Cricetulus griseus: one gene and its partners. The protein of the gene in region 1 interacts with the protein of each later gene in a pairwise test. Links are inferred from orthologs where the notes say so. Each region holds a gene or a part of one and is shown in the gene's direction. Other genes may lie near its edges.

Region 1 (3,500 bases):
GCTTTACCACTCTAAAAGCTAAAAACATTCTTTTCAATTGTAAAGGGGGGGGGGCAGTGGGATGGCTCAGCAAGTAAAGCTGCTTACCACTGCCACACAAGCCTGGCTATCGGAGTTCTATCACCAGATCCTACATAAGAAGTGAAAAGGAAGACCCACCCCACAAAGTTGCCCTCTGACCTTCACATGCTTGCGAGGCACATGTGCCCTCATCGTGCACATTTTTAAAAGTGTCAAAGGGAGGGCTGGAGAGATGGCTCAGAGGTTAAGAGCACTGGCTGCTCTTCCAAAGGTCCTGAGTTCAATTCCCAGCAAGCATATGGTGGCTCACAACCATCCAAAATGAGATCTGGCGCCTTCTTCTGGTCTGCAGGGACACATGCAGACAGAACACTGTATACATAATAAATAAATAAATAAATAAATCTTTAAAAAAAAAAAAGGTGTCAAAGGTAGTGGGGCAGTGGTGGCACACACCTTTAATCCCAGCACTCAGGAGGCAGAGACAGGAGGATCTCTGTGAGTTCAAGACCAGCCTGCTCTACAAGCGCTAATTCCAGGACAGCCTCCAAAGTCACAGAGACACCCTGTCTCGAAAAACCAAAAGTAAAAAAAAAAAGTGTCAAAGGGAAGTAAGGTTATTACATCATCTTTTTAATTTATAATCAACTCTGGGAGCCTATCCTGGCACTCACTGTGTAAACCAGGCTGGCCTCAGACTCACAGATATCCACCTGCCTCTGCCTCCCGAGTGCTGGGATTAAAGGCATGTATCACCACTGCCTGGCAAGATATTATAATTTTTAATATGCTAAACATAAGATTATTGGAGGTCAGTTTTGAGTCCCTTTTGGCATTTGGGCATAATAAACATATTATGGTTTAAAGTGGATCCCACGAGGCCCCTCTCTCTAAGAAGTTCTCTCTGTGAGGACAGGGTGCTGCAGAGGTGTTTTCTAGCCTTGGGGGATTTGTGTCTGTTTACAGGGCCCGAGACTATTCTGCACCGGTCAACTTCATCAGCGCAGGGCTCAAGAAAGGGGCAGCTGAAGAAGCGGACTCTGATGATTCTGATGATGATGAAAAGCCTGCGAAGCAGGAGGACTTTCCAAAGGACTTAGGACCAAAGAAGTTAAAAACGGTAGGTCTCACAGGATAGTCTCTAAGTGGCAACAGTCAGAGGTCATCAGTGCAGCAACTTCTTTGGCAGAGAGAAGCCCAGTGGGCAACTGTGTATGCTACCCCCATAGGTCCTGAGTCTCTTTCCTGGTCTGTGTCCCTGATGTGGTTTCGGTCTACACACAGCTTTTCATAGCACACTGGCTGCAGGCTGTTCTCTCTCTCATTGGCATTCTCCCTTTTATTCTGTGTTTCTTTCTCACCCATGCTCATCAGGCCTTCTTTGCAGGGTGGCAATTTTAAGCCCAGCCAGAAAGGCTTTGCTGGAGGAACCAAGTCGTTCATGGACTTTGGCAGCTGGGAGAGACACACAAAGGGCATCGGGCAGAAGCTGCTACAGAAGATGGGCTACGTCCCTGGGCGGGGCCTGGGGAAGAATGCACAGGGTGAGTGAGGCTGTGGCCCAAGAGGAGTTTGGTAGAGGGATGCCTCGTCTGCCTCTTCCCTTTAGGAAGCCCGTCAAGTATGGGGTGATCTCTGCGGATCAGGTCCTGGGAAGGATGCTTAAACTCAAACCCAAACAAAACAGCTGTTAACTTTGCAGCTGGATTTGGCAGCATGGGCCACTTGTGCTCTCCAGCTGCCCAGCTTTTCCAGAATCCAGGTTCAGTAAAGCGCTTCCTTAAGTAGGAAGGAAAGCGGTAGGGTCTAGAGTGGCTGTACATAACTGATAATATTTGCAAGTCAGACTATTTCACCAAGAACTCTATAGAGTTTGCCTGGCAGGAGTTTGTTAGCTTCACAGCTTCCTCTGGGCTGTGTGAGGTCTTATAAAGCAATGTCCTCAGCTCCCTGTGGCCCGCCAAGTGATCATGTGTGTGAGCCTGCTTGGGCTCTGAAGGCTCAGCTCTGTAGTCCCTGCTTCGGTGGTCCCTACCTTTGTTGTCAGTGTGCAGCATGGCAGCCTTCACCTACTAAAGATGTGCCTGCTGCTGGCTGACCAGACCATGTTGTTTCCCACATACACCAGCCCCACTGAGAAAGAGTCCCGGGCACGCACAGCTCATCACCTTGGCCATGAGGAACAAGAACTTGGCCTTTTCCAGCAGGAACTGGGTCCAGTGTAATTAATACCCAGGGCCACCCATAGTCATTTCAGCTAGTGCCAAGCTTGTACTGGGAAGAGAGTGGCAGAGCATCTGTGATGTCACTCCTCAAGTCCCCAGAGCGTGACACTGTCCTGAGCACAAGGAAGGTGCTGCTGTGCTGTTGTAAGTAGCAGTGTGCTGTGAGCTGAGGAGCAGGAAGTGTCCACTCAGTTGTGTCTTCACATGGGTTCCCGCGATCTGAAGTCTTTCTGTCTTCCACCTGTCCTTGCTCAGGAATCATCAATCCCATTGAGGCCAAACAGAGAAAAGGCAAAGGAGCCGTGGGAGCCTACGGCTCAGAGCGAACCACTCAGTCTCTGCAGGACTTCCCTGTGGCTGACTCAGAAGAAGAGGCTGAAGAGGTAATGAGAAGGCAGCCGTGTGGGTGTGGCTTGGGCCATTACAGACAGCTGCAATTCATGGGTTATGCATTCTGATGGCCTTTGGGTGTCACCACACACCTGCTTATGTGGCAGGCCCTACTAGGGGCTCAGTGTGCAGCCAATGGCATCATGCCATCATAGGCTTAGGTGTGTGTAAGGGGCCTGCTGTAAGACAGTAGGCAGGGTGGGACCTGAGACATGCCTCCGTATGGTGGTCTGACTGCAGTGTAGGCTCTGCTCAGCTAAGAAACAGCCCTATATGGGACTAGGTGCCATTATTTCTGAACAGCTGCAACTCCAGATAGTTCAAAGAATGACAGGTTAGAGCAGGGTGAGAAATAAAACGGCAGTCATGGAACTGACTTGTAGGGTGGGTGTGTCCTCACGCATAGTATCCTCTGCTCACCATTTTCTGTGGAGGTCGGCCAGGTGGGGGCGAGTGCTTTCTAAGCTCTGCCTAAGTTAGTGAGGACTGGCAGAGCTGCGCCCTTCCCTTGAGGACCCTGCCTTGGCATCTCAACCCTTGTACTGTACACGGATGGGTGTTGAGAAGTGGTGCTTGGTGGCTACGGGCTTGCTAAGGGCCTTGTCCTGGCTGCTTGCTGTGGAGGAGGCCCCTGCTATTGACGTTCTCTGCCTCCCTCTGCTCCAGGAGTTTCAGAAGGAGCTGAGCCAGTGGAGGAAAGACCCCAGCGGGAGCAAGAAGAAGCCCAAGTACTCCTATAAGACTGTGGAGGAGCTGAAAGCCAAGGGCAGGGTCAGCAAGAAGCTCACAGCACCTCAGAAGGAGCTGTCTCAGGTCAAGGTATGAGGACGGCACATTGGTCCCCGTCCATCCTCTGAAGACTTT
Region 2 (3,500 bases), on another chromosome or scaffold:
CATATGTGTAGATTTGTGTACATGTGCACATGGATACCAGAAGTCAGACTCGGGTTGTTCTTCCCGAGACAGCCATCTTGTTTTGTGAGACAGAGCCTCTGGGCTTGGAGCTAGCTGAGTTGGCTAGGCTGGCTGGCCAGTGGACCCTAAGGATATGCCTGTTTCTGCCTTCCTAAAGCAAGGGTTACAAGTGCTCACCGCCATGCTTGGCTTTGCACATGGGTTCTGAGGACTGAACTCAGTCCTTGCGCTTGCTCAGTCAGCATGTTACTTACTGAGAGATGCCTCCTCAGCCCCCACAGAACATATTTCTAGTGAGACTTTGACAGGAGCCTCTTATGCCCAAGTCTTTCTTAATCACCTGACTCTGATAGCAATGTTCTTTCTTTTCTAGAAGACACATATGAGCGCACCCTGGTCGTTGATGGTGAGAGTGCAACGATTATCCTCCTGGACATGTGGGAAAATAAGGTATGCAGGGCCTGTGGCTGCCAGTGATTTCTTTTAGGCCTTGCCTTTCAACAGGCTGCTTGGGGCCAGAGTGACCTTGTCCTACATAGTGGATGTTCCAGATGCAGTGGGCTCATTTTCTTGATTAAAAACATTTACTTCTGAAGAACGAGACTGCTGAGGAACAGGTCGTCCACAGATGAGCCCTAAAGAACAAACAAATTGCAGTGGCTTGCCCTGAGTTCTATTAAAAACCACAAGAAACGTATTTGTTTTAGGGAAAGTTCAAACAAGCATGGTCACTTATTTTCAATGACACAAAACCACTTTGTGTGAAGCTGACCTTCTCAACACTGCATTCCAGCATGGCTTTTGATGGTTCTAGGTCTCCCAGTACATATGCAAGATTGTTGGTTGATTGAGAACCCTCCTATTCTCCCAAAGGATTTGTAGTTCTGCCCTTTGGGGAAAACAAAAGGAAGCTTTTAGGGAGTCAGAAAAGTCCATTTTGGGCAGGCTAGATTGTAATCGGAAATACTGTTTGTCACAGTAGCTATGCACCATATCAGCTCAAGCTGTACTAGTAATTGGAAAATAAGTTTCTTGGGCATAAAAACAATGCAGACTGCTTTTTTTTGTCCCTAGACATCTTGGAAGACAATGCATATTGAGGTGTTGGAAGCAGTTTTCTTCCTTTCTCTTACTTGGGATAGACATGCAGTTTCTTTGCAAAATGACACCTCAATTTTCAGGCTTGCCTAAGCTCACGGGAGGTCTTCGTATTTCATTAGGGGGAGAATGAATGGCTCCAGGACCATTGCATGCAGGTTGGGGATGCCTACCTCATCGTCTACTCCATCACAGACCGAGCGAGCTTTGAGAAGGCATCTGAGCTAAGGATCCAGCTCCGCAGGGCCCGACAGACAGAAGACATTCCCATCATTTTGGTTGGCAACAAAAGTGACTTAGTGAGGTGCCGAGAAGTGTCTGTGTCAGGTGAGAGGGTGTGCAATTCTGGGCACCGCCCTTGTACTGCATACACTGGACCACAGTGGGGTTCTCTCTCCCTTTTCCAGGGCCTCAGTGGGATGCTCCATGAAGGCTTATGTCTAAGACTCCAATGGTTCCCATCAGTTTTGTTAGTCATCTCTTGTTCTCTTCATCCTCTGGTCTACCTAAAGGGTTCCAGGCTTCCCACTGCCCTTTGGGTGTTCTCCTGGAGTTACTTTAGGGAAGAGAGCATCCTCAGGAATTTACTGGCAGTCTTGACCTTTGCTTCTTAACCTTTTATTCTTCAAGCAGATTCTACATTTAGGGGAGGAAAAGTGGTGTATTAATGCAAGGATGGGGAGCTCTTGGTTAGGAGACAAAAGAAACAGTTATACTTGGGTTGTTAGTACTCCATCTAATACTCTCTAACCCCAGCCCCTCCTTCCTAAACTTCTGGGAGAGCATGATACTGTTGGGACCACACATGAGTCTCCATCCTTATTTCAAGGGTCATTCCTATTTGATGAGTGTGCCTCTGTATTCTTTTTAAGGCCCTCGAGATTATATTGGTTTAATGTAGATTGCGTAGAACCATAAAAATGAAATATGGCACTTTCAGGCCCTGCTCAGTCAAAATGATTTTTCTAGCTACTTGGACTGTCTTACTAGGACACCACAGTATTCCGTGTTTAGATCTTTTCAAACTCAAACTTGGACACATGGCTACTAAACATAATATCTGAAATCAAGAGTTTTAGAAAAGCTTGAATAGTTTGACGTTTTATATATTTATAAAATCATCATATTCCTCAAAAGATCTCATCTCATCATACTTTTCTTTTTAAAAGACAGGAAAGCTAAATAGTAAACTTGGAATTAGAGTTTTTAGTGAGGGACACTGAGTCAGGAGAAAGTGTATAAGCTTGAGCACGGAACAGGGCTGGTTGTCCTGTCACTGTCAGCTGTGTGAGTTCCTTCCCATTTTTAAACACTTCACTCAGTTTCTTCGTCTCTCCGATGATAATAATGGTATATTTTCCAAGTTTGTTCTGAGCAGTGAAAAGGCTTTGGAAAGAACTTGGCCTGCTTTTGTGAATGTAGCAAACCTTTAGGAAGTGGAGGCCAGGGCTCTTGCTGTTGTAATTAGTATCAGTGTATTTGATGAAATTTTACTTTTCCATAGTGAATTTTTGGTGAGCTGGATCTAACCGGTTTCCTGGAATCCTCTTATTGTTTATTTCTACTCTTACCCGGGGGAAGATGTGTGCCCTGGTGCCCCCCTCCTCTTACAATGCAGTCTACTGCTCTATGCTATCTCTATTGCAGTTTTGGAGAAGTGTCCTTTAGCTTGACCACACTGTGCAGGATCATACTCTGTGACCCCTCTGACTTTCTTTCCTCTTCCTCCTTTCCAGAAGGGAGAGCTTGTGCTGTGGTGTTCGACTGCAAATTCATTGAGACGTCTGCAGCCGTGCAGCACAATGTGAAGGAACTGTTTGAGGGCATCGTGAGGCAGGTCCGCCTGCGCCGGGACAGCAAGGAGAAGAACGAGAGGAGGCTGGCCTACCAGAAGAGGAGGGAGAGCATCCCCAGGAAAGCCAGGCGCTTCTGGGGCAAGATTGTGGCCAAGAACAACAAGAACATGGCCTTCAAGCTCAAGTCAAAATCCTGCCATGACCTCTCTGTTCTCTAGGCACCCAGTGTCACCCAGATGTCCCCTTGATGGACATCGTAGAAGGCCCTTGGGACCAGTGATCTATATTAGATTGAATACATAAGCATTGTTAGTGGTGGCTTCCCCTGTTGCAAATGGGAACCAACAGGTTAGCCTCATGGGCAACCAAGTGCACGGGCAAGGAATCTTTGTCAAGAGTCAGTATTTATTCATAGGAACATCTTGATTTGCTACATGGGCACCTGAGACTCATTTAAGGGCATATTTGGGGTTCACATGAGTTTTGTTTTTGCCTTCTTTGGGCAGCAGAATATTGAAGCTTATGAAGAATACCTAGAACAGGAGTGTGTCTAATCATTGAAGTGTTGCCCAGTTTTGTTCTATG
Region 3 (3,500 bases), on another chromosome or scaffold:
GCACTATGTCAGGAGAACATGTGGGCTTCCCAACCCTGGATGAGCCACCTGCCCCATGACAAATGGCCACCACTAAAAACAGAACCACAAAAGCTTTGTCAAGGACTTCCTTCTTCCACTCAGCCTTCCTCAGCCTCATTGGATGCAAGAGAGTGAAAGACCCCTGCCCCTTAGCCCTTTCTTTCTCAAGTTTGCCTCCTCCTCCAGTCGGCGGCTTCCCCATCCCCACCCCCACCGGCCTCCACTTCCCCCGCTGACGCACGCCCGGCCAGAGGGCGAGCACCAGGTGGGCCGGCCCGAGGGCGAGCACCAGGTGGGCCGGCCGAGGGCGAGCACCAGGTGGGCCGGCCTGGGGCCCTGCCCCCGCGCCCCCGCCCGATGGGGAACACTCCGTCCCAAGGTCTCCGCCCCCAAGGTCAGCCATCTGGAGGGAGGGAAATTGAGTCTGTTGTACCAGACACCAGACCTTGAGAATATGCTGGTCTGGAATGGCTCTGTGCCTCATTTGAACCATCCAATAGAAATGACTCTGTACTTTGCCTCATTTGAATAACTCTATACTTCACCTCATTTGAATAACCCTATATAGCGCCTCATTTAAATTGACCAATAGGAATAACACTGTACTGCGCCTCATTTGAATTATCCAATAGAATCTCTGCTTCTCGCTTCTGTATTGCGCTTTCTGCTATATAAGGACCCCTCTCCCTTGGCTCGGCGCGCTTGGCCCAACAGAAGCTAAGCCGCCCCGGGTACCCGTGCCGCTAATAAAGCCTCTTGCAGTTTGCATCCAAGTTCGTGGTCTCGCTGATTCCTGGGTACGGGTCTCCTCCTACGAAAGTACCTCTTCAGGGGTCTTTCAAGAGATCTTCCTCTACCCTCCTTTCTGTGTGTTCTCTTCCCAGCCCCCACTCTCTGAAGCCTAGGGACCAACTCCCACAGCATCTGAATTTCCTGCTTGCATGCCCCCACCAGACTCCTTCTTGACCTTAAACTGAATTTCTGCACTCACAGCCTCCTCAGGCCACAGAAGTCTCTTAGCTTAACTAAGTCCTTTCAAATAACCAAAGTCTCACAAAATTCTTCCTTCATGCCTCCTTTCCAACATGGGCAGCCAGGCAAGCTCTGCCCTCCCTTCCAGTGGTCTGAGTTCAGCAAATAGAGGGGGTTTAGGGTGTCGCCAGTCCCAGGTAGGCCAGGGTCTCAGGGAGAGAGGGTGAGGCTTGTTTGATTTCTGTTGCCTCCCTCATTGCAGGAGAATGACCAGAAGCGGATCCGAGCCCTGAAAAAAGCCAACAAAGAGCGAGAACTGAAAAGGCAGCGCCTGCGGGAGCTGGCCAAGGCCAAGCAGGAGATGAATGCTCTGAGGCTGGAGCACCAGAGGCTGTGTGTCAAGCTTCAGGACTACGCCATCTTCAACAAGTACCTAGAGAAGGTGGTGGAGAACTCTGAGGTGGGTCCCCTGGCTGGGGGTGTTGCACTACAGGGCCCTCCACAGCACCCTTTTCTCTTTCCAAGTTAGCAGAATATAGCTCAGCTCCAGATGGCTAGGGTTTAGGGGCCCTTGGAATGGTTATCTTGCTTTGGGGAGAGGCAGCAACCCTGGGGGACAGACGGCCAAGATCCCTCAATGGGTAGGAGGACCTGATGGTTTATCTGTGCAAAGCTATATGTGAAATGAGTGTTTACATATGCATCTGTGTATGTCTGAGTCTGTGTGTGTGTGTGTGTGTGTGTGTGTGTGTGTGAGAGAGAGAGAGAGAGAGAGAGAGAGAGAGAGGAGAGAGAGAGAGAGAGAGGGGAGAGAGAGAGAGAGAGAGAGAGAGAGAGAGAGAGAGAGAGAGAGAGAGAGAGAGAGAGAGAGAAGGTGGTTGGGGAGGAGAGGAAAAATATGAAAACACCTCCCCTCCGAGGACCTGGGCACTTAGGACTTCATGCAGGCTGATTAGGAGTTTATACAGTCAGCCTTCTTTCTGTCACCAACCACTGGGAAGAATAAACAGACCATCCCTTTATGGGGAGATAGAGGCTCAGGAAGGTTAAGGCACCTGCTCAGGATCTCACAGCTTGGAAATGGCATGGCTTGTTATTTTCCCCACTCTACTGAGGACCCCTCTGGGCCATAGGTGTCCCGCCCCCTGTCTTTGCAGGCCCTGTCACCCCAGCTCAGGACATTTTTAGCCCTCTTCTGGCAGCACCTCTTGCAACATTTGATGTTGGGCATTGCTCCTCTGACATCTCCTTGGGTCTTATATTCTGCTCCCTCCTTCCCAGGCTCCTCTGGGGCCTCCTCTTCCCAAGTTTTTCCTTTAGCAAGACTGACTCTGCCTCAGACTTGCCACAGTACAGCCATAACTGTGCTTCCTCCTTACCCCATGCCCTGTAACCATCAATCAGATATGGTCTATTCTGCCTCTTAGGTATTTCTGGAATCTAACCCCTGCCCCTTCCTCTTTCCTCACGCTGTGTGCTTCATCTGGTGTTACCTCTGCCCTTTGCTCTTTTGCATTCTACAGTCTTCTCCTCCCTCCTCTTTCTCTTTCTCCACCTCCTGTTTCTTCTCCTCCTCTCATCCCACCCCCCACACTGGAAAGCATAGAGAAAAACTTAACACTCTAAACATAGAGAACTCAACACACAGCTTTGTATAATCTTAATTTTTCCTCAATTCTTTTCTTTTCTTTTTTTCTCTCTTCTTTTTTCTGAAATAAAACATTACTGGTAATTTAAACCCCTTATATGTCCATCCAAATTTCAGTCTTCCTCTCTTCAGGGGTCACCAGTATCATAGTTTTTAAATTGCTCATTTTCATGCATGTCTCTATTTTGTGACTATCAGCTATCCATAAACTATGCATTATATTATACATATCCTTCTATGTCTTAGCCTTTTTTTCCCAATGGATGATTTCTCTTCCATTCTTAAACTCTTGTCTTTTAGATTTATTTTTATTTATTTTGTGCATATGAATGCTTCAACCTACATGTACGCTTGCGCACCACATGCATTTCTGGTGCCCTCTGAGATCTAAAGAGGACACTGGAGCCCCCAGGACTGGAGTTAAGATGGTTGTGAGTTACCATGCAGGTGCTGGGAACTGAAGCCAGTTTCTGCCAGAGCAGCTAGTGCTTTTGGCTGCTGACTTTTAACTTTTAACAATCATCTGTCCAGGAGTATGATTTCTTAAAATAATATTTTTAAATGATACATAATGATTGTATATGTTTGTAGGATATACTGAGGTGTGTGTGTGTGTGTGTGTGTGTGTGTGTGTGTGTGTGTGTGTGCACTTCATAGTGATCACGTTGGGGTAACTGACATATCCATCACCTCAAACATCTATGGCTTCCTTTTTGTTGGGGATATTCAGATCCTCTGTACTGTTTTGAAATCTACAATTCATTATTGTCAATCATAGTTACCCTACCACACTGTACAGAATATTAAAAATTCTTCTTTTCTTTCAACTGCCCATAATCTTAGTCAATAGTACTTTCAG
Region 4 (3,929 bases), on another chromosome or scaffold:
GCCAAACCCAGCTTTATGTGGGCACTGGAGCTCAAACTCAGGGTCCCGTGGTTACATTTTATGGACTGTGCCATTTCTCAGCCTTCACACATCTGATCTTGGTGACCAGAATGAGGGTCAGATTTTCTTGAGCTGGACAAGTCCTGACAAAATTCTCCTCTTTTTAGGGAAATCTATGAGAGTGAGAAGCAAGTATATATTAGATACCTTTTTATCGCTGTGATAAGACACTGTGACCAATGCAACTTATAAAAATGTTGAAAATAATCTACACATGGCAGGTGGCAACACCCAGGAATTTAGTCCTTTGTAGTTGCCCTCAAATTGACCTATAAGCTTTATATTTGGTCCAAACGGCCAGACTTACTAGAAATTATTTGATATTATTATATGCAAGACCTCTACAAGGTATTGGAGCACAATTAGGGAAGCACAGTTGTGTTTGAAAGTCCTCTAGCCGTCCTGCCATGAGTTTTCACAGTTTACCTGCAGTGTGCAGTGGGGAGCAATGGGATGTGTTTTCCGTTTAAATTAGAGACCTCTGTCCACTGTAACTATTGTGATTTCTAATTGCATTATTAACTTTCCTTCCTTCCTCCTTCTAGAATCCTCCTCATTGATCATAACTTCGCAGAGTGGCCACCAGGAGGTATCCTGCATCCATCCCTGGGGCCAACACCATCACTTCTAATGACACTGTTAAAGGAGGAAATTGAGGTGATGCCAATACTTTAATCCCAGCAGGGGTAGCCAGATCTCTGTGAGCTCGAGACCAGTCTGATCAACAAGCGAGTTCCGGGTCAGTCAGGGTTGATTGTACATAGTGATTCCCTGCCTTAAAAAAAAAGAAGGAAGGAAGGAAGGAAGGAAGGAAGGAAGGAAGGAAGGAAGGAAGGAAGGAAGGAAGGAAGGAAGGAAGGAAGGAAGGAGGGAAGGAAACTGAGGCCGAGACTGTGGGGAGGTCCCGTCAAATTCTGACAGGGTGGGACTACGCAACAGATTGGTGATGGCTAATGCTCTGCCTGAGGACCCGAACCGGCGACTAACAGGCACGTCAAACAAAGCTTCCCGAGCTCAAGCCCATCTGTGTCACTTGTGGTGCAGCAAGTCCCCACTGAGGGGGACTTCAGCTTCCAACAGCACCTCCACCACAGGAACGTCAATGTGGCCGGGACACACAGGCGCGAGCACGCAAGCGCAACAGTGGCAAAACCGAAAGCCGCCAGCTGCCATGGTGACTGACGCCACGCCTCCGAGGCTGACGGAGTCTGCGCGGCGGGCGCAGAGGCAGAGCTGCTCATGCGCAGCATCTACCTTAGCGGCCTGGGCAGGCCGGGGGAGGAAGCGGAAGGCTGACTGGTCGTTGACTGACGCCCATCGCCGGAAGTCCCGCCTATCTTGCCGAGCCCGTTCCCGGAAGTGCATCTGCTTGTCTCGGGCGAGATGGCTTCAAGGTTACTTCGCGGAGTGGGAGCTCTGGCGGCGCAGGCCCTGAGGGCTCGTGGGCCCCATGGCGCGGTTGCGACACGCTCCTTTGCTTCTGGAGGTTTGTGGCCAGCTGGGCGCGCCAGGCCGGTGTCCGGGGCCTCGGGGGTGGTTGGTGATGGCGCGGTCGAGCGGGGTCGGCCATTGAGCTGCTTCGGGCCCTGTTGACCACCTCACGCTCCCGGAGTCTGCGCTCCGAGCGGTCTGGCTGTAATTTCGGCCGCCCAGCCCCCGCCCAGGATTGACCCCGATTCTAAAGTGCCCTGACTGGAAGGTGCCGGGTGACCTTGAGAGACAGGGACTGTTGGAGCGGTGGGAAAAGACTGGACCGATTTTGAGATTCCCTGCCCACCTCCAGCCAGCTATCTCTCATTGATTACTTGGTTTTTAGAAAAAGTCGAAAAGCAAGCCTCGGCGGCTGGAGGGGGAAACTTCCCCTAAGGCTTTGGGAGTCATGACTCAGTGGGCTTAGGGGACTGTGGGAATGGGTGACTTGAGAGCCCACCAAAGACGCTTACAATGTCACCTTTCCCGTGTTGATCATTTGAGCGTGTATTCATCGTGGTCCTATCAGTTGGCATAATTCATTTTTCTTCTTTTAGGTGGTGTTCCTACTGATGAGGAGCAGGCTACAGGGCTGGAGAGGGAGATCATGATAGCAGCAGAGAAGGGACTGGTAAGGAAAAACTCCCTGTGTCTTCTGGAGCCCTTGGACTTGGATGGGATCAGAGGAGTCTCCAGTCAGCCAGCATTTGGTCCTGGAAACCCAACTTGTAGGAACAGCCCCTTTGCAGTGTAGTTGCAGGGGATGTCTGTAGTAACTGGTCAATTCTTGCCTTTTTCAGGATCCATACAATATGCTACCTCCAAAAGCGGCTTCAGGCACCAAGGAAGATCCTAATTTAGTCCCTTCCATCACCAACAAGCGAATAGTGGGCTGCATCTGTAAGTACCTTGCCTTTATTGTCTGTCCATTTGTTCATGACCTGCTACACAGAATCTCTGTAAATTGCTTCAGATCTGTGCATGTGACTGACTATATGTGCATAAAAAATACTGGTATAAATTGTCCTAAGTGTTCTGTCTCAAGCCTCAGAATGCATGAGAGCCACTAGAGTCAGATGCCCCTGGAGCTGTAGTTACAAATAAGGTTGTGAGTCATCTGATAGGGATACTGGGAATTGAACTCAGGTTCTCTGGAAGAGCAGTCTATGGTCTTAAAACATGTTGAACCATCTTTCCAGCCCAGATTTTTTTTTTTTTTTAAATGTATACAGTCTTCTGCCTGCATGCCAGCAGACTGTGCCAGATCTTATTCAAGTCGGTTGTGAGCCACCATGTGGTTGCTGGGAATTGAACTCAGGACCTCTGGAAGAATATAGTCAGTGCTCTTAACCGCTGAGCCATCTCTCCAGCCTCCAGCCCAGATTTTATATATAAATATATTTGTATGCCAGGCACTGTTTTAGGCTCTAGAGATACAAATAAGTACTGATCCTGCTTTGGGATTCTGTGTAGGGAATGGAATTGTTAGAACCTACAGTGACCCTGATACAAGGTTATTTTACTCACAGGTAAACTCAGCCCCATTTTTTCATTTGAAAGAGCAGAGTTTGCTTGAAGTGACTTCTTAAAGTCAACCACAGTTTTTTTGGGTTTTTTCTCTAAAGTGTTTGTAGGAAAAGATGAATGTTGTAAGTCTCCCTTTGTACGCTGGAGCTGGATGACTTTGAGCTGCCTTTTCCCTTTCAGGTGAAGAGGACAACTGCACTGTCATCTGGTTTTGGCTGCACAAAGGCGAGGTCCAGCGATGCCCCAGCTGTGGAACCCATTATAAGCTGGTGCCCCACCAACTGGTCCACTGAGCCTCTGTGTTAACTTTTCAGAATGTGATGGAAAGTTTATCTCTAATAAAGACTAGCCATTGTATTGGCTCCTCCCATAGGTGGCTAGTCTTATTTCTGTAGGTTTTATTTGTTTTGTTTGTAGACACGGTTTCTTTGTGTATTCTTGGCTGTCCTGGCACTCACTCTGTAGACCAGGCTGGCCTTGAATTCACAGAGATCTGCCTACCTCTGCCTCCCCAGTGCTAGGATCAAAGGTGTGCTCCACCACTACTGCCCGGCTTCTATAGATTTTTTTTTTATGTTGAGATCAGTTGTTTCTTAATACTGGCTTGACATCTACTGAGAATGTAAAACCAGTATAGAGCTGTTAGATTTTTATTTAATTTTTTTTTTTTTTTTTTATATAAGGATGGTGGGGGCAAAAACCAAGGAAGATTTTAAAGGGTGAAAGCAATGGCAATATTTGGACCTTGCTTGGATCCTGATATGTTTTGTTTGTTTGTTTTGTGTTTTTGTTTTTGTTTAAGATTTTTCTTATGTATACAGAATTCTACCTGCATGTACACACGCAGGACAGGAGAGAACACTAGATCTCAT
Region 5 (3,500 bases), on another chromosome or scaffold:
AGATCCAGCAGGAGTATAGGGCCAGATGTACTGGGTAACTGTTCTTGGAAGAGCAAATGGGATTCTGGGTGTCCTTGCTGACCAGACAGCTAAGAAGGACCCACGTGGATATCACTGTGACTAGAGACACACAGATTTTGGTCCCTCTATGTCTCCAGGTTGAAGTTTTGTCTCTATAAAATGATGTCATGGAGTGTAAGATGACCCCCTGATACTAACATACTGTCCATGGGTAGCATGAGCCATTGCTGGGCTAATTTCCATGCCTGCTTCCCTCTGTCTTAGCTGCAGGTGTCCACTGCTTGCAAGAGTGTGGAAAGCCGACTTGGAGGCTTGTCAGCTGCTGATGCAGAGTCTGCGGCTCCAGGAAGCAGGCATCAACCCACATGCAGAAGGTGAGAAGCAGATGGACAGCATAGGAGAGGCCACCTGGACAGCCACCCTGACTGCCCATCCCAGACCACACCCAGAAGAGGAGAAGACCCCCTTGCAGGTGCTCAATGCATGGAGCATTCACTCAACCCCCTTACCACACTGTGCTGGAGGCCAACAGAAAGAGGTTTGTCCTATGTATGCGTGACTTTTTCAGGGGTCCATGTGGCGATGAGAACAAACAGAACTGGAGGGGGGTTGCCATAGACCCTCACAAAGTTCCCAAAATTCATACAACTCTTGAATACGATAACAAAATAGTGTATAGCTTTTTGAAGCTTAAAACATAGACGAGCAAAGAGAAAAGCTTAGAACATTAGCTTTCTTTTTAATTCTAGTTTAGAGGGCCCCATTGTTCTAATTCATTCTAGAATAAGGAAGTTCATATAGAATCATATGTAGTATGCACTATGCATCTTATATAACATAGGTTGTTATACAGACTGTATATCATATATATTCAATTGTATTTCTAGAGCCTATAGATTATATCATTTATGAATTCAAACATTCTAATGTTTGAATTCTAATACATGGTGTCATTTTCACCAAAAACAGATCATGATGAATGTTTGTGGTTCATTTTTTTTCATGAAATCAAAGCAAAACAAAGAGCAGAGAGCCCTGTTGTTTGGCCTGATGTGTACATTTCCATTAGAACATGATATTACTTAATTTTTAAAATCAGGGCCTGACCCTGACAAGTGGAGAAAGCTCCCTCACCCCACTTTCCCAGCTTTCCATTCTGCTCCTGCCTGAAGTCCAGAGGGGTTCCTTGGGTACATGTCTTCCCTCTGAGGCTTCCAAGTTCCTTATTTGGTGGTTTCTGGGTATTCCGTCAGGTCCCATATGTTCTGTAAGGGAAGAAGTTGGCTATAGCTGCTGCCTGACTCATGCCCTCACCTTGACTTTTCAAATCCCATTGCACCCCTTCCTTTGTCTTTGCCAAAATTCAATGAGATGGGAGAGTGGGTGGGGAAAGCACCCTAGCCAACCTGCAGGGTCTCCTGCTCCTGATTAGGACTAGAGTCGTGACATTACAGACCCTGTGCCCTGTGTTCAGCATAACAACCGGTCACTGTGTCTGTGCTGTCTGAGGACTGGCTGTGCTTGTATTTGAACACATGTCCCCATGGGAAGATGAGTAGTATCATAGTCTCTCTGGGTCCCTGCTAGCCTCGGCTGGGTAGGCTTTAAGGAGAACTCCTTCAATACCCAATATTCTCTCTGGAATTGCAACATAGTTTCCCAAATACTTAACAGCTTCTCATGGAGCCAACATTTTACTGGGAAGGTCATAGCAAACCCTGAGCCTATTTCAGGAGCCTGAAGCCAACAGAACATCTTAAAGGTGAGATGGCAGTATTTTGTTATATTTGTTTTACTTTAAAACACGTGTTGCTGCTAATCTCTGACCATGTCTAATTTATAAATCAGGCTTTGTCACAGATAGGTATACATATGAAAAATTGTTCTACTTAGGTTTGATGCTGTCTGTAGTCTTAGGTATGCACAGAGGGGTCCAGGAACATTGAACCGGCATTCTTTGAATTCACAAATACCATAGATCTTAAGATGATAGATATTTTTTGGGAAAGGCAAAAATGATGGGACTGGAGAGCAGGTCTCATTGCCTGGAAGCTGGGAAGAAAGAATCTGGGAGTAGTGACAGATGTGTTTTCTGTCTTGTGGTGGAACCACTATGTATATATATGTAGCCATCTGAATCATGGCTTTACAGTGGAAAAAATTGCACATAACTTTTCAGAACTGACTAAAAGCTTAATGCAATGTCTGCCTGCTTAAAACAGGGCTGTATATGAAACAGGGGGACTTACCTCAAGACTCTGAGAGCTCAGGGGAGGAGAGGGCTCAGCTTGGAGTTCAGGTTCCATTTCTGCTGCTGGGAGGCTGCATCTTCTCATCCACTGACTCAACACCAGCAACAACGTGGGCTGGAGGGATGGTTCAATGGGTAGAGTGTTTGCTGTGTAAGCATGAGAACTTGAGTTAAATTCCCAGCACCCACATAAAAGGCTGGGCAAGGTAGTATAAGCTTATAAGCCCAGCACCATGGATGTAGACACAGGAGTATCACTGACTTTGCCAGCCTGCCAAATTGGTGAACCTCAGTGCAGTAAGAGACCCTGTCTCAAAAAAACAAGGACTGACATCTGAAGTTGGCTTCTGGACTCCATATGCACATACACACACAAGAATAGTCTCCCTGTGCAAACACAAATACCTGTGCACACCCTTGTCACCATGCATGCACATACAAACTCACACACACATACTTACCTACACAGACACATACAAAAGTAACAATGGCCGCAAAAATCAAGAGAGAATAATCAGAACTAAGTTTTTAGTGGCATTAATTACCCTTCCTGTTACCATGACCAAATGCCTGACAGAAACAAGAGAGGAGAGAATGTCTTTGGCTCACTATTTCAGAGACCTCAGCCTGTCATGGGAGGCATGTATGACCAGGGCAGGCTACATCACATTGGGCCATCTCTTTTGTCTTGTTAGTTGTAGTGCCTGTACACGTGGTAAAGCCTGGCTAGTGTTAATTTCTGTATCTCTGGTGTTCTGGAGGTCACAACACCTAAAACACCCTTTGATAATCTACTTTGCTGGCATTGTCAGGAGGAGAAAGTGAGCAGTGAATGAGAGAGATGCCTAAGGAGAGGCAGGCTATAAAGGGGAAAGCTTGCTTGTGTTTGCTGGGAGATTTTAGACCACTAAGCCTCAGAGGTGTGATACTTGGGGGTCTCCTGGTGAAGGTGGTTTTGTCTTCCTGTCTTGCTTTTCAGGGGCTATTGAAGTCTGGGGAGGGATGATGTGTTTATCTTGAGGCAAAATGTCCCTTTGCTTTGCAGCTCCAGGTGTATTTGGCTTTGCAAGGCGCTGCTGGGCCAGGCTACCCCCCCCCCCACACACACACTGGTTTTCCTATTGAAGCATGACACCCTGGGGGCAGGCAATTGCTTTTCAATCCAAATCTTCCATGACAAATCGAGGGCTTCTTACAGAGGTCCACAGGGAGATGGTTTCAAAGCCTT
Region 6 (3,987 bases), on another chromosome or scaffold:
GACAGAAACAACTGTTGGCAAGGATGTTCTCAGGTACTGATAGCAGCAGCAGGATCATGAGCACCACGAACAAGGCCAGAGAGGTAGGTGGAAATAGGAAGCTCTTCTACGCAAGAGATACGTCTTGGGAATTTGAGGAAGGCATGAAGGAACCAAAGATATTTACTTGTTATCTGAATAAAGGTGGTATATATTATTTTGGTTACCCATAGTTGTATGTGTGTGTGTGTATGTGTGGTTGGACTGAGCGACAAACAGCTGCCTGGATACAGGGAACGAGAGGCTCTGGAATGCACGGTGGCACATTCCTCACTTCTTGGTAGGGCACAGAGAATGGGACCATCCCATCTTCTCTCACTCTCAGCTGTCTCAGCTTTAGTAGACTCGAATCTAATCCAGGGGCAGGTGTTTAGAGCCACTAAATCTTCCCTGTAGCAATCAATAAAGACTCTGGGTTCTTAAATACATGTTTTACCTTAATTAAATAAGTTAGGATTGATAATGTTGCTTTTATTTCACCAAGTTGCAAGTTGAGGCAAAAGTAGGGAAAAAAAAAAAAAAGAGCGGTTTGTATAAAATGGTCCAAATCAGACAACTGGCTGTCTTTTCTTAACGTATTCATAAATCATGGCAAAAAATCCAGTTTTCAATTTTAAAAACAAATTAATTGGTGCATTTTGAAAGCAACTATTTTTCTGCAATCAGTAGAAATATTTTGTGCGATAAATGCATATATATTGCAATTAGTAAGGCCCACTCGGTTTTCCTCTTCTACTTGGATTTTTCTCCAACAAATTATAAATGTTATAAAACATAAATTTTATATCCTTAATGTAAAAGCAAAGCTGATTTTTAACAAGTGGGCAGAAAATTTAACAAAACCAATTTTACTCTGTGTCCCTTTTTCTAAAATCCTGTTTGGTATAGGAGTGCAGGGGAAATGCTGGACTTTCCCAGCTGAAAGAGAAGGGGGAGAAGGGACGAGCACCTAGGGGTGGGAATAAAGAAAAGCCAGGATTATTCCTAAAAGAGGAAGAAAAGGCCAATGCAGCCTCTGCGTTAACCATAGAAAGGCAAATCCCAACCACAAAAGAAGCTCCTTCTGGTTTGGGGACTAACAAAGAGGAAATGAATAGCCGAATCTGGTGTGGCCAGGAAGGAAGGGGAAAGGCTGCCTCCTGTCGCAGTGTTGGCGGGAGTGTAGTGGAGTCCTGATCTCACTGGTGACGTGACCCTCACGTGAGCCGAAGCCGACGTGTGCAGACGTTGTTCTAATGCTACGATCGGTGTTTGCTCTCTCTGTGTTATTGTTGACTGCGGGCAGGCCTGCTGCTGAAGCAGGAGGAGAAGGTAATTGCCTGGGTCCCAGCAGGTCTGTGTTGTGGAAGGGGGATGCCGGGGGATCACTGTCTTGTCGGTAGCGCTGTAGCAGAGTTGCCAGCCTGCTCTCTTCATGCACTTGCAATGTCTTCGGACCCTCTTAGAACAACAACAACAACAAAAACAAAAAACATTGGAGGGAGAGATTCCAGGGGAGACCCCAGATTAGGTTTGGGGGGCGGGGAGTCTTTGGCATGTCCGGACCTAGAATCGGGAAGGGCAGGTATTATGGTTTGGTGCATGAATCCACCTTCGAGGACAGGATTTTGAGGCAGTGAGACTCTTATCCTCTGTCATTCATCAGTAGAGTGCAGTACCTTTTGGAGCAAAGGAATAATCGTCATCGAATTTCTGCATGTCAGTCAGTCTAAAGCTGAGATTGCTACAGGCCGGCAAATGGGTGGTGATGGCTTAGGGCTTTATCATAACTCTAGGCCATTATTGAATCTTTAGCAAACTACGTGTCTGTTCTCCCCTGTCCCGCCCCAGGAAAAAAGGACAGTTCTCACAATTCTACAGAAAAAAATGGCTGTCTTTGGGGGTGGGCTGGATTGGGGGAGAACAGAAGAGATCTGTCATATTCCACAGCTCGAGTTTTCCGTACTCGCTGGGCCCGCCTCCAGCCCTGCGCTTCCAAAGGGGTGTGGTTTTTGCTGGGAAAATGGCCGACCACCGCAGAAAGGAGTGCCAGGATGTAGTGATATAGTGCCGCGGGGTGTCAGCAGAGTCCAGAGAACTGGGGGTAGGGTGAGAAGTAAAATCATGAAATCCGTCTGACCAACCAGGTTCCCAGATTTGGGAAAGTCGGCATTTAGATGGTCTAAGTTTTGTGTTTTGTCTCTGCTTAGGCGCCTGTATCTGTGGATCTTGCTACTGAAGACCAGTCCAAACGGAGGAGGAGCAGGGGAAGGAGGAAAAATTTCCTGAATTAAGTAGGTCAGAGGAAGCGTGATGACACTGTTTGGGGGGGGGTCCTTGGACTCAGACTTTCTCTGCATCCCTGGTTCCGTGGTTTTTTTTTTCTTTTGGTTTTTGTTTTATGTTGTTTCTCTGCATCCCCACTTTACTTTGTTCCTGAGCTTGCAAAAGGAAGCACTTTGCAGATAAGAAACCCGGAAGGAGATGGTTAGGTGGGGATATCCATAGAGAATGCTGGGTTGGAAATGGGGATGGCATTATTCTAAAATCCTGTATGGTGCAGTGTCCTTGGTGTTAGTCTAATAGGCACCCAGTCTGTTAGTCCTTAAGTTTGTGAAGTTAGGAACTGAGATGAGGGAGGAAAGAAATTTCACAGGGCAGTGAAAAATGATACAATTGTTCAATAGACTGAGAGGATGTGTTTAAGATAGTCAGGGTGTTAGAAGCAAGTGCGGATAATGTCTATCTGATTTCTAGGCACTGCTGTCCATTTCTTCACAAGTTAGGGTATGTAGTATCACCTTTGGAAGAAGTGACAAATAGGGTAAGTGGGGCAGGGCAGGAAACTGATCTTCCAAGGAGGAGGGGAAGGGAGACAATGCCATGTCCCTGCAGTGAGGAAGGTAATAGAAGGTAAGAAACACTGCAGTGAAGGGCAAGGGCCTGGAAATTCAGAAGATGGATATCTATCTCTATCTCTATCTCTATCTCTATCTCTATCTCTATCCTTTTGGGTGTGATTTATCTGGTTCTTGAATTCTCAGATCAGACCTCTGTATTGTTTTTGTTTGCAGATCTTCAAGAGTCTGGAAAGGAACAAGGGACTACTTGGATCTCTGAGGGTGTATGTAAGGGTAACCCTGTGACCCTGATTCAGGACATCTGGAAGGGTAAAGATCATAGGCAACATATAAATCTATTCAATTTAACATTCTTGGAATGGGTGGAAAAACGTAAGGTTGGAGAATCTGGGTGTTTAGCAAACTTCCAAAATTGCTTCCAGATAAAGGAAAGGAATAATGATGAGGATACCAAGTTCTAAATGCTAGCCAATATCTCTGTACATTTATATGTTTGTGGGCAAGTGATTCAGTCTATATATGTACAAAGGCACAACTGGAGAAGTTGAAAGTCTGAAAGCTTTTCCTTCTTCTAGGTCTCACTGTATCTGCTGTGTTAGCTGCTCCTACCTACAAGAGCTGAAGACTTTGTCCCTGACTTGGGAGTACTCTGGACCAGAGCAAGCCAGCTTTGTGTCCAGGTTAAGGGATTCACCCCACCTGTACCATGGGCCGCACTCGCGAAGCTGGATGTGTGGCTGCAGGCATGGTCATCGGGGCTGGTGCCTGCTACTGTGTATACAGACTGACCTGGGGAAAAGATGAGAATGAGAAACTGTGGGATGATGAAGAAGAGGAGGAAGAGGAGGAGGAAGAGTCTTGTAGTGACAAACCAGAAACTGGGGGCAAAACTGAGAAAGGAGTTAAGACTAATGTTGGTGTGGGGGCTGGACCTCAGGATGACTCAAAGCCCAAGGCTGATGTAAAGGTGGGGCAGGAAAATGATCCAGGTGTAAAGATCGAAGCACACCCAGAATCCCAGGGTGAAGGTGGCCTAGAAGCTAAGGCTAAAGCCCTTTTCAAGATCCTAAAGGAACAGGCAAGTGCAAAGGCAGGCAGAGGGATCAGG
Region 7 (3,169 bases), on another chromosome or scaffold:
TGAATGTATGTGTGTGAGAGAGAAATGTGTCCATAAACCCATAGGTATGAAAGTGTAGATGTTTTTGCTGGTGTGCCTGTCTTGGGTTCTTGAATTTCACTCCATTATAGGCAGTGCCCTGTTGATGGTCTCTGTGATTCTGGGCTTACATGCTCCTAGTGGGCCATGTCTAAGCCACTGCCTCCTGTGGTTACATCTACAGGTTCTCCCATGGGCAGGTGGTCTCTGTGGATGAGCTGCGCCCTTTCCAGGATCCAGACTTGAGCTTACTGCAGACTGGCTCTGCTTGTCTGGCCAAGCACCAGGATGGCCTTTGGCACCCAGCACGGATCACCGGTGAGATTGCCTACAAGGGCCTACCTGGTGGGACCCTTTTTGAAACATCCTTTTTTTTTTTTCCTTAAAGCCATTCTCTACCTCCTCTGGGTTGAGCTTTGACGTCATCTGGGCCCAAGAGGAGCAAGTCTGTCTTTGCCCCAAGCCCCCTCCCTTCCTGTCTCTCATTTTGCTCCTAACTGGTTGCTGCTAACCTACAGCCTGTCTCTGTCACCCTAGATGTGGACAATGGCTACTATACTGTTAAATTTGACTCACTGCTGCTGAAGGAGGCTGTGGTAGAGGGAGACAGCATCCTGCCTCCTCTGCGCACAGAGGCTACAGAGTCATCTGACTCAGACAGTGGTGATGCAAGTGACTCCAGCTATGCCAGAGGTATGGCAGAAATCAGTACCCAGAAGCCAGGCTGGTCAGGGAATAGACCTAGACAGGCACCCAGCTGTCAGGATAATTGTAGAACAAGTGATGTGGTGAGAAGCTTAGCACAGTAATCTACAGGAGAGGGCCCAAAGGACCAGAGTGTGTGTGATGGGCCTGGGTAAGACCTAAGACCTAGCTTTTGCCTTTAAGAAACAGACACAACAATCATATGTAAGAGTCAGAACTCCCTGAAGCAAGATAGCACCTCACTGTCAGAATGGAATGTTGGTGCTAGGTCTGCCAAGGAGTCACAGGAAGTAACTGAATGTAGAACATAGGAAAGGTTGGCTTCTTCAGATGGCTTCCCAGATTTAGAGCTTGGGTGCCTGGTAGGTAGGGGAGAAGAGATCTCTGCAGATGGAAAATGTGTCTAGGTAAAATAGAGAGTTCAGGAAATTAGGTAATATATAATCCTCCTGAGAGATTGGTTAGGATGAAGACAGGAAGGAGTATCAGGGAACCTGTGATGTGAGTTGGTAGTTTCTGAGCTCCTATCCATGGTGGCAGATAGTAAGCTAAAGCAGTCAAGTTGGTTACCACACAGCTATCTCTCAAGGTAGAGTTGCCAGGAGTGCCCACAGCATGTTTGGGGAACCTGAGGGGACCAGAAATCCAGGAGATCAGGCCCTACCTAGGGCCTGAGTTCTTGGGTAGTGTTGGCTAGAACCCACTACTTGGAGTCCTCTGTCTCCTGCAGTGGTGGAACCAAACACCGTGGACACCGGAACCTGCAGTTCTGCCTTTGCTGGTTGGGAGGTACATACACGAGGCATTGGCTCCAAACTCCTAGTCAAGATGGGCTATGAGTTTGGCAAGGGTGAGTGTGTGCTGCCCTGAGATGGGAGGGTTGCCTCATGATAGCCTAAGAGTCTGGCAGAGGCAGCACAAGGCCCTGTCTTTCCCAGGTTTGGGTCGGCATGCAGAAGGCCGAGTGGAGCCCATCCATGCCGTAGTGTTGCCTAGAGGGAAATCACTGGACCAGTGCACAGAGATACTACAGAAGAAGACAAAGGGAGGCCAGGCTGGGACCAATAGGCCTCCAAGATGTCGGAGGAGTGGTGGTAGACCCGAGGGCCGCCCACCCCCTCGGAATGTGTTTGACTTTCTGAATGAAAAACTGCAAAGCCAGGCGCCTGAGACCCCAGATGCTGGGGTGGACACTCCAGGGAAAAGGAACAAGGACATGTATCATGCCAGCAAAAGTGCCAAGCAGGCTCTGAGTCTGCAGCTCTTCCAGACTGAGGAGAAGATTGAGCGGACCCAACGGGACATCCGGGGCATCCAGGAGGCCCTAACCCGGAATGCTGGCCGGTATGTGTGGGGTCCAGCTGAGGCAGTATGGGCTCCAGTGGCTGTGCCCGCAGGGTACCTGCTAAAGGTCACCGATCTCAGTAGCCCCTGAGTCTGAAGTGGTCTGAATATTGGAGAATGGGCATTGGCCACAGCATCTGGGGGCCTGGTAGTGGGGAGCCAGGAGATAATGCTGACCAGCAGGCTCTCCCTAGGCACAGCATGGCAACAGCCCATCTGCAGGAGAAGCTGGAGGGAGCCCAGCGGAAACTGGGTCAGCTGCGTGCTCAAGAAGCTGGCCTACAGAGGGAGCAGCGGAAGGCAGATACCCACAGGAAGATGACAGAGTTTTAGCAGCCCTGCCTATATTGTGGACAGAGCCCTGGGACCAACTCCAAACTGCGTTGGCAGAAAGACGGCTGGCACCCTGACACTTGAACCTGGAAGAGGGTTCAGCCCATTCCAAGGCTGTCCCTTGTTCAGCCTTGTCAGCCTAACGTGTATGAATACTACTGAGTAGACATGGGGTGTCAGGGTTGATTTTGAACATTTATTTGCCCACCAAGCCCATCTACCAGTGTCTTGGGGTAGCTCCTTAGGACATTAAAGTGATTTCATCACAATTTCTCTCACTGGAGACTCAACTGTCTTCAGGATCTCTGGGGACAAATGGATCTGTGTAGGTCCTTGCGACAGACAGGTGGACTGGGGGTGGGAAGGTCCCAAATGAGGCCACTGCCTCTGTTCAAGGCCCAAGAGTCCAAAAAAGGAGCATCTTCCCTCTTCTCCCTTCTCTGACCAAGTGGGTAAGATCTTAGGGTAGCTCTTCAGTGCCCAGTACTCATAAGCAGGTAGGGTATATGAAATAGAAACACTGTTGGGAACTCCATCAGTGATGAAAGCAGGCAGGCCTGACTCAAGTGAGTTTGGGGTTCATTTCTGGTTTTCAGTTGCCACTGATAATCCATCCAGTTGACCTGCTCTGTCCACCTCATTCATGAGTATCTGCCACATTGGGGTGGAGTTTTGTGTTAGTTTTGTGGTAATTGCCTATTGATGGCAAATAACCATGATGAGATGTGAGGCGGTGAGCGGAGACTGGGAGCAACTGCGCAAGAGCTAT

The links.
Region 2: the proteins of Tfip11 (region 1) and Gem interact in binary tests that used the Homo sapiens proteins (3 or more experiments, as listed by UniProt). The two-hybrid records come from large-scale screens. The link is inferred for Cricetulus griseus from reciprocal best matches to the Homo sapiens genes TFIP11 and GEM.
Region 3: the proteins of Tfip11 (region 1) and Ccdc42 interact in binary tests that used the Homo sapiens proteins (3 or more experiments, as listed by UniProt). The two-hybrid records come from large-scale screens. The link is inferred for Cricetulus griseus from reciprocal best matches to the Homo sapiens genes TFIP11 and CCDC42.
Region 4: the proteins of Tfip11 (region 1) and cytochrome c oxidase subunit 5B, mitochondrial interact in binary tests that used the Homo sapiens proteins (3 or more experiments, as listed by UniProt). The two-hybrid records come from large-scale screens. The link is inferred for Cricetulus griseus from reciprocal best matches to the Homo sapiens genes TFIP11 and COX5B.
Region 5: the proteins of Tfip11 (region 1) and Disc1 interact in binary tests that used the Homo sapiens proteins (3 or more experiments, as listed by UniProt). The link is inferred for Cricetulus griseus from reciprocal best matches to the Homo sapiens genes TFIP11 and DISC1.
Region 6: the proteins of Tfip11 (region 1) and Armcx1 interact in binary tests that used the Homo sapiens proteins (3 or more experiments, as listed by UniProt). The two-hybrid records come from large-scale screens. The link is inferred for Cricetulus griseus from reciprocal best matches to the Homo sapiens genes TFIP11 and ARMCX1.
Region 7: the proteins of Tfip11 (region 1) and Zgpat interact in binary tests that used the Homo sapiens proteins (3 or more experiments, as listed by UniProt). The two-hybrid records come from large-scale screens. The link is inferred for Cricetulus griseus from reciprocal best matches to the Homo sapiens genes TFIP11 and ZGPAT.

Annotation. Positions count from the first base shown.
Region 1 is NC_048597.1:92,004,157-92,007,656, forward strand, and holds part of Tfip11 (tuftelin-interacting protein 11), read left to right. Parts: intron 1-987; coding exon 988-1,141; intron 1,142-1,408; coding exon 1,409-1,565; intron 1,566-2,501; coding exon 2,502-2,629; intron 2,630-3,302; coding exon 3,303-3,455; intron 3,456-3,500. UniProt on the Homo sapiens protein: Involved in pre-mRNA splicing, specifically in spliceosome disassembly during late-stage splicing events. Intron turnover seems to proceed through reactions in two lariat-intron associated complexes termed Intron Large (IL) and Intron Small (IS).
Region 2 is NC_048595.1:125,845,786-125,849,285, forward strand, and holds part of Gem (GTP-binding protein GEM), read left to right. Parts: intron 1-394; coding exon 395-471; intron 472-1,241; coding exon 1,242-1,446; intron 1,447-2,855; coding exon 2,856-3,133; 3' UTR 3,134-3,500. UniProt on the Homo sapiens protein: Could be a regulatory protein, possibly participating in receptor-mediated signal transduction at the plasma membrane. Has guanine nucleotide-binding activity but undetectable intrinsic GTPase activity.
Region 3 is NC_048600.1:82,480,016-82,483,515, forward strand, and holds part of Ccdc42 (coiled-coil domain-containing protein 42), read left to right. Parts: intron 1-1,255; coding exon 1,256-1,453; intron 1,454-3,500. UniProt on the Homo sapiens protein: Essential for male fertility. Required for sperm development.
Region 4 is NW_023276807.1:11,509,191-11,513,119, reverse strand, and holds cytochrome c oxidase subunit 5B, mitochondrial, read left to right. Parts: upstream 1-1,389; 5' UTR 1,390-1,443; coding exon 1,444-1,546; intron 1,547-2,087; coding exon 2,088-2,161; intron 2,162-2,330; coding exon 2,331-2,430; intron 2,431-3,237; coding exon 3,238-3,350; 3' UTR 3,351-3,429; downstream 3,430-3,929. UniProt on the Homo sapiens protein: Component of the cytochrome c oxidase, the last enzyme in the mitochondrial electron transport chain which drives oxidative phosphorylation.
Region 5 is NC_048596.1:201,987,762-201,991,261, forward strand, and holds part of Disc1 (disrupted in schizophrenia 1 protein), read left to right. Parts: intron 1-285; coding exon 286-559; intron 560-3,500. UniProt on the Homo sapiens protein: Involved in the regulation of multiple aspects of embryonic and adult neurogenesis. Required for neural progenitor proliferation in the ventrical/subventrical zone during embryonic brain development and in the adult dentate gyrus of the hippocampus.
Region 6 is NC_048604.1:45,377,433-45,381,419, reverse strand, and holds the start of Armcx1 (armadillo repeat-containing X-linked protein 1), read left to right. Parts: upstream 1-1,187; 5' UTR 1,188-1,350; intron 1,351-1,995; exon of another isoform or gene 1,996-2,122; intron 2,123-2,228; 5' UTR 2,229-2,312; exon of another isoform or gene 2,313-2,316; intron 2,317-3,092; 5' UTR 3,093-3,142; exon of another isoform or gene 3,143-3,188; intron 3,189-3,454; 5' UTR 3,455-3,585; coding exon 3,586-3,987. UniProt on the Homo sapiens protein: Regulates mitochondrial transport during axon regeneration. Increases the proportion of motile mitochondria by recruiting stationary mitochondria into the motile pool. Enhances mitochondria movement and neurite growth in both adult axons and embryonic neurons.
Region 7 is NC_048599.1:523,034-526,202, reverse strand, and holds the end of Zgpat (zinc finger CCCH-type with G patch domain-containing protein), read left to right. Parts: intron 1-202; coding exon 203-336; intron 337-555; coding exon 556-711; intron 712-1,453; coding exon 1,454-1,573; intron 1,574-1,661; coding exon 1,662-2,067; intron 2,068-2,261; coding exon 2,262-2,400; 3' UTR 2,401-2,669; downstream 2,670-3,169. UniProt on the Homo sapiens protein: Transcription repressor that specifically binds the 5'-GGAG[GA]A[GA]A-3' consensus sequence. Represses transcription by recruiting the chromatin multiprotein complex NuRD to target promoters.